2 linked regions of the Saccharomyces cerevisiae S288C genome follow. Changing the gene in region 2 together with the main gene of any one other region gives a genetic interaction. Each region holds a gene or a part of one and is shown on either strand. Other genes may lie near its edges.

Region 1 (3,200 bases), on a different chromosome or scaffold from region 2:
TCCTACAACTATCAAGCATTGTTCACAGTTCTCTTTTTTTTTTTCAGAATACATTATTTACTTTTCGCAAAGTATTTGTTTACATTCGGGCAGAACTGTAAACAGAAAAGAGACCAGCGGAAAGGCCTAAACCCGCAGCGTTGCGAAAATAAGATGATGCTTTTCGTAGAACCCTCTCATGGAAAAGTAGTCATGAACATATGAGCGACTTTAAAACATTGGAAACAGATTAAGAAGTTTTGTTTTCAATTGACTAAAGAAGGATAATTTGTCATCTTACTTAATAAACTACGGGAACGACCATCACGTTTCTTTTATGGATATGGTTGTTTCCGCTGATAAAAGAAGTCACTACGCTGATTGACTGTCAAAGTGTACACAAGCCGTTAAAACGTGGAAACGGCTACTTTCACTCTTTGGTTTGTCATAGTCCTGCTTATTACATTAAACTAATAGTATACACCTATTTTCTATATATGGTAATAGAAAAAAGAAGCATTTCACATAAATCCATTATCATACACCACGTCACCGTCCTTGCTAACACTTACACCAAATTCCAAGTCGTCGTCGGTAGTCATATCCCAAGTCTTGTAAACCATCATTAATGTGAACACATTACAGATGCTTCCAAAAAAGAGGCCATCTAAGTAGTGCTTGAACCCTTCACAAATTTGTGTAGAGAAGGCATAAACCAATACCTGGCCTGCTACAAAGAAAAATAGCCCCAAAAAGATAGCTCCTGTGACCCATAAGTTTCGAACTACCAATAGGGATACCAGTAATTGACAAATAACGAAAACGAATAAGAAAATGGCGTTTATTATGTAAACGACGACAATCATCCCTGAAGCGTTCATTGTTGCTACTTTATGGTCGGTGATCCATGCTTTGAAGGTTAAAATAGAGGCTAAAAAATTGGCTATGAATCCTAGCATGGACGTTCCACGGACCAACAGCATGGACTTTGTAGTCCCATCTTCCCATAAATTGAAACCTAAAAACCCGATTATCAATAAGGCCCAGCAACATGCACCCGCCAGTCCTATTTGTATAGCCACGAAGTATGGATATGACCCAGAGCCGGGGGGAGATACACCACAGTCTACCACCAAGGTAAATATTATCAATAGCAATGTTAGTTGGAAAAAGTAGAGATATTCAGACCTGCCAATAGCAGTATACTTCTGTCTTATGTTATAAAGTATGATTAAAATGACACCTAGAGCACCAATATTTATGAATGCGTTCCCGACATCAAAGATGACTGTATTGGCAAGATCAATCGACCGAGCATAACAGCGTGGCAGTACACCGACATTCAAATTTAAAGGATCAAAATCATGTATAATTGTTGAGTTCGAAAGTATTAGATGGGTTTTAGACTTTATTACCGAACATAATGGCAACGGGGTCTTTGAGCATATGGCAGCAAAATCACTAAATGCCATATTATATATATATCAGCTTTTGTATTAACAAAACCACAATTTTTGATAATAGTTTTGATGAAATAAACTTTCCACGTGGAGACAGCTTTGAAAAAACAGTTCAAAGTATGCCAGTGTAGCTTTGACTTTTTTTAATCTTTTTAGTTAAGTTATGCAATATGCTATTTTTATACCAAAATGGATCCTTTTTGATTTCGTGTCTTGTGAAACTTTTTCAATATTTAACCGTTTTAAGAAAGCGAAGCGGGCAACACCAGAAGAATGTCAATAACTTACTGTAACAACATAAAACATGGCATTTTAAATAGTACTGCCAAAATTTAATGCAATGGCAATTAGTTGGCTATGTTGCTACATATTATTTTCCATAGCATTCTCTGTCACAAACTTCAAAATAAAAGACAGTGACATCCGAACATCCGATACACCCATACATCATGAAAATAAATCCTGACATTGGAAGAAGTCTTGATACAAAAAAAGATCGCTGTCAAAAATGCGGCCAGACTGCCGCTGCATCGTACCAACAGTGCGTATGTTCAGACGGAGAGACGACCTCTAGAGAGACGTCCGTCGGTGCGGCAACGCTGACGGTTTAGTTGTTCGACGGGATGATGGGTTCCGCCAGGGGGAGGGAAGGCTTTCCACCAAGAGAGGTAAAATTATTCGTCGAAATGAACTCAGAGATACATCCATATTGTTGACAATGTATATCTTAATTGATGTGGTATTTTCACTGTTTTAACGTAAATTGAAGGAGATTAAGCAAAAAAACAATCAGTAATAATGGGTATGTGGACGATTAGGAATAGACAAACCATGTTATTTATCTCCATTAGGGCGTGAGAGTGTAATTAGTACACAGGTACTACTAGAATGCTAAAGAACTTTTTAAAATATCCTGAATCGTAGGGCAAATCCATGTCAAGCAAGAAACTAATAGTTATTAAACTTCATTTACTTTTGAGCTAGTTAAATATTTTCATCATTTCCTAAAGTACTGAACACCTGAATGATACTTTTATTGGCCCTTTTAATAAGAACTCTGGTTAGAAAATATATTGAGGATATCATTAGTAATACTCATTAGATATTTGTGAATTTAGCCGTTTCCCCATTACAGAAAAAAGATACAACTAATTACATGTGCAGTCAAATTACTTTTTTTTTAAGATCAATTACTAACAATCAACTATCATGCTAAATTTGCTGTGATATCATTTTGAACCAGTTAACGTCCCAAAGACCAGAAAGACCTACTGTAAGGGTAAGACCTGTCGTAAGCACACTCAACACAAGGTTACTCAATACAAAGCTGGTAAGGCTTCCTTGTTCGCTCAAGGTAAGAGACGTTATGACCGTAAACAATCTGGTTTCGGTGGTCAAACCAAGCCTGTTTTCCACAAGAAAGCTAAGACTACCAAGAAGGTTGTTTTGAGATTGGAATGTGTCAAATGTAAGACTAGAGCCCAATTAACCTTGAAGAGATGTAAGCACTTCGAATTGGGTGGTGAAAAGAAGCAAAAGGGTCAAGCTTTGCAATTCTGAGAGTTGTTATTGTTTATTGTTTTATTATATTTTTATAGTTATACTTTGACCATTAACTTTTTGTAAATTTTGCATACTTAACTCTTTAATATTGAAAACCTGCCTATTTGGCGTAATTTTTCATCCTGCCTTTGAACCTGTTGTAAACGTTCGCGTTGGCAACCATGATAAGTTAACAAGACACGTAGGCGTTCGCACTAA
Region 2 (4,383 bases):
TTGTAGCGTAAATATAGATACATAGTTAGAGCTGTTGCAGCATATACATATACATATATATTATATATTTTTCTTTTATTTTTTTCATGCGGGGGGATGCATTTCATGCAGTATTCTTTCTAATTGCTCTACATCCAATCTTTGGATGAACAGGTTTCGCAGTAAACCTAACATGGTGATAAAACTAGCTAGTCCCACAGGGACGACACAAAGAACCGTGATTTTATATAGATCTATCGTTCGCTTAGTGGTAAAATTGAATGCTTTTTTTGGATATTTTTTGGGTCTTTTAGGGCTTTGTGAATGAGAGACTGAGGGCCTGTTAACAGGAAACAATCCGCCATCACTGTTATCGGAGAGACTGTCGTTGGAAGGAACATCTACTGTACTTTCGTCGGCTACCACAACATGTGAGTCTTCATCAGCGTCATCTTCACCATCCTCATAGTCTTCTGTTTCTTCTGGAACATTAGTATCCTCTTGTACTTCGCCTTCCTGGTTCCTGATATACCTCAGATCCGAGGTAAGATAACTTTGCCAAATGTACACTGCTGTTAGTACACAACTAATGAGTATCCATGTATGCAAAAAATAGTCGAGTTCCGGAGACAAAGACGACAAAAGAAGGAGTTCTAAGGTGACAATGATCAATGACATGGAAAACATTCTTAAAATGGCGGCCACAGTAGAGTACTTGACGATCCATCGGACCATCAAAGAGTCGAGAATGGCATACGAGAGGTATAAAGACACCAGGCACCAAAGTGAGCAAAGGAGATATTCAGACGCTCTTGCTGTAGTGAGTGCGGATAATAGGAGTGAATCCTTACCGTCGCCATTCACAGCCTTTTGCGAAGCTCCTTCAAATGATGAGTTATTGTCGTAAGCGCTATTGAGTTTTTGCCAGAAATAAGTGAACGCATCTCTTAGTGATTGTGGCTCGTAAAGCGTTATGCTGGTGCGCATGGAGACTCTCCAAGCCTTCCGCAGAGATGTGAAGATGTAAGTTAACGGCGGTAAAAGGGATATGTCCCTGCATAAGGCCATCAGCATATGCTGCTTGGCAGTTAAATGATTCAAAGACAGCGTTTTCATAGAACTGTACGTCTTTTTAAAGGTCGCTCGCTCATGCTTGGCATACTTGTCCTCATGAGGGCCCATACCAGTACTTAGTATCCACGTCATCTGGTTTTTTAAAACCCTGAAGAATCAAATAAGATTATTTGACCAAAGGAAGGGAAGGGAAGAGAAAAAAAACTTAAAGAAAAAAGAAATGAGAAACCCTGGTGTGTTCACGTAGATGCACAGACGGTGGGCAACCCAAAACTTAGTCTTCCGATAAACTTTTCAGGTTCTTGTACACGTGGAAACGCCCGATATATATCACATGTAGCTGTGTAATATGAGAATGCCTTTGTCCATGTGATAAACCGTGCAAAACTTAACATGGGAGCAGGCACAAGTGTGAGTCCCACGAACAAAACGCCGCTCGGGTAATAACGCCCAATGTAAAAACATCATAAATCAGCACGCAAACGGTAAAGAACAAAAACATCTTCAAGGGAAAAGTATACAGATGTATAGTCTAAGCTATTGTATTTGTATAAATGGTTCTTATTTTAGTTTCGTTTGCCCATGAGCGTTTGATTTGCTCAAGAACAAGGAACAAAGACCAGCGTGTTGGGGAAAAGAAAAAGAAAACAAAAAACAAAAGTAGATCACAAGTTTTCCAGAGATGCAGCAATTTCGTCCAGTTCCTTCTTTGCGTCTTCGTACTTGACGGTCAATTCCTCGTTCTTTCTTTCCCATTCTTCTCTTTGTTCTTCCAAGGCAGCTACTCTTCTTTCCAATTGATCTGCCTTCAAGTCGGACTCTCTCAATTTCTCAGTGGTTTCCTTTAGCTTGGTGTCGCTTTCCTCCAAGTCTTCTTCCAATTGCTGGTTCTTCTTGGAGAAATTGTCGTTGTTGGACTGCAAGTGGTGAGAGTCCTCGGACAATTGCTTGGATTCAGCCAATTCTGCTTCCAACTTCTCGATCTCTTCCTCCAATTGGTGGTTCTTCACCGTCAAGGACTTGATCTGATTTTCTTTTTCAACGTTATCCTGTTCTGTTTGCTTAGAGTCAGAAAGTCCCGCTTCCAGCTTCTCGATCTCATCCTCCAATTGCTGGTTTTTGACGGTTAAAGACTTGATCTGATTCTCCTTTTCGACGTTCTCTTGCTCCAAGTCCTTGTTCTTCTCTTTCAACTCCTCGTACTTCTCCTGCCATGATTCGGCTTCCAACTTCAAGTTGCTTAGCTTTTCTCTGATTTTGTCCATTGTTGCCTTTTTTGTGTGTATGGGGTGTGAGTTCTACTATGTAGATTTCTTCTACCAACCTAATCTTTTACAGTATCAGAAGGGAAAAACGAACCTTCTTCTTGCCAAGTATGCAGTATGTGATCTCTAACACTTTTCCGTTTCTCGTAGATCGTGCTATGGTGTGCTGATTTTTTATTTTAATGGTTACCCGACTTCTTTACCCGGCTCTCCGTCGGGTAAGATATATGTGCTAGCGCCACGCGATGGCTGGTTTGTCTTTTTAAGTTCTTAATATTTATTTTTATATTTTGATTTTTTTTTTTTTTTTTTTTTTCCATTAGTGAATGACAGCAATGTATTAAGCTGCTGCCGCGCATACAAAATGTACTGCGTTAAATTAGATTAGCTTAAATTAGTGCTTGGTAAAGGAGGAGTGGTTTCAAGTCCGGTGTGCGCCCCACTTTATTCGGGTATCTTCTACGTTTTTACATCCATGTTTCAGGTACTGTTGAAAATAGTTAAGATCGTTCGTATTTCTTAATTCATGTATTTTTCCCTGTTCCTAACTCGCAAACATCAGTTTTCTTGCAGATACGTCTTGAAATACAACCATACAGACAATGGAGACATACGAGACTAGCATTGGGACTCAGTCTTATCCCCCGACTTTGTTCCCACCTCCCCTGGGTACCGGTGGGTTTACCACTTCAGGTTATATACATGCGCTTGTGGATTCTACATCGAACTCGAACTCGAACTCGAACACAAATTCGAACACAAATTCGAACACAAATTCAAATTCAGATACCAAGATTCCTATAGTGCAAATATCGGATGACTCTCATATAACACACGACAGCTTCAAACCATATATGGAGTACCACGATGCTTCGCACTTGAGGAACCGTAACATAAGCAAAGCGGACCAGGTTGAAAGCACTGAAGTGATGGAACAGTTTACGCAATGGTCGAATTATAAGATGAGGTCTCGCTCTCCTACCATAAACGCAAAGCCAATTCGACACACTTCACAACGAAGAACAGACTTTACCAGCAAAAATGAACTCTCCAAGTTCAGCAAGAATCATAATTTCATTTTTCACAAAGGGTTTTTGAAGAGGCAACACTCCATACGCAGGGAAGACAGGCAAGCAAAGGTACGGTCAAGATTCAGGAGCAAGAAGGAGCTGACATCCGTTTTGAACTATATAGAACTGGAACAAATGGATATTGCAAATGTCCTGGCTTCGCAACCGGTAAACTTACACGCTATCAGAAATCTCACTAGCAGGGACCCTGCGGTAACTCCTATCCCATTTTTAAGAAGCCAGATGTATGCAACCAGTAGTCGTCCACCGTATCTAAGGAACCGCTCCATAAGTAGGAAACTACCCAAATCACAACCAGGTAGTCTCCCGACGACTATGCCTGCGACGGCGACGAAAACAATTAAACAGAATTCAACGACCCCAACCACAAGATCTGTTTATAACAAGAATGTGGGGCGGTCCAATACTTCCCCTAGTGTGTTGTACCACCCAAAAAGAAGAGGAAAATTGAACACCAAATCGCATGCAAGAAAGGAGCAACTGCTGTTGGAACTGTGGAGAGAATACTTAATGCTGGTTATAACACAGAGGACGCAACTGCGCCTGACTTTGCTTTGCTCTCCGGGTTCAGCATCGAATGAAAGCTCTGTCTGCTCTTCTAACGCCAGCGACTTAGACATGTCCCTTTTATCTACTCCTTCAAGTCTCTTCCAGATGGCAGGTGAGACCAAAAGCAATCCTATAATTATACCCGACAGTCAAGACGATAGTATACTTAGTAGCGACCCCTTTTAAGTAGGTAACCCCCCCTGGATTGCATAGCCATTGCATAGCCTTAGACATCAAACTTTATTTAATCACATTATCCTTCTATGTATCTTTTTCCCCCGCTCGATTTCTTCTAGAACATTACGGAAAATAAAGGAAAAAAATGACTGGAGCATCGAATCTGTAGACTAAAAAGGTAATGACGCGTTCTTCGTTCCCACAAGTATGTGAAATCGTTTGAACGCTTTTATATACTGATAGGAATA

Evidence for each region. A genetic interaction does not mean that the proteins touch.
Region 1: mutations in TPM1 (region 2) and CHS7 together harm fitness more than expected from each alone (negative genetic interaction), as found in Saccharomyces cerevisiae (5 studies listed by BioGRID, with this or other methods).

Annotation. Positions count from the first base shown.
Region 1 is NC_001140.6:381,789-384,988, reverse strand, and holds CHS7 (Chs7p), read right to left. Parts: upstream 1,452-3,200; coding exon 501-1,451; downstream 1-500. Other genes in the region: 60S ribosomal protein eL42 RPL42B, read left to right, coding at 2,238-2,241, 2,683-2,999. UniProt on the Saccharomyces cerevisiae protein: Chaperone required for the export of the chitin synthase CHS3 from the endoplasmic reticulum.
Region 2 is NC_001146.8:476,848-481,230, forward strand, and holds TPM1 (tropomyosin TPM1), read right to left. Parts: upstream 2,319-4,383; coding exon 1,719-2,318; downstream 1-1,718. Other genes in the region: EOS1 (Eos1p), read right to left, coding at 85-1,185; NIS1 (Nis1p), read left to right, coding at 2,921-4,144.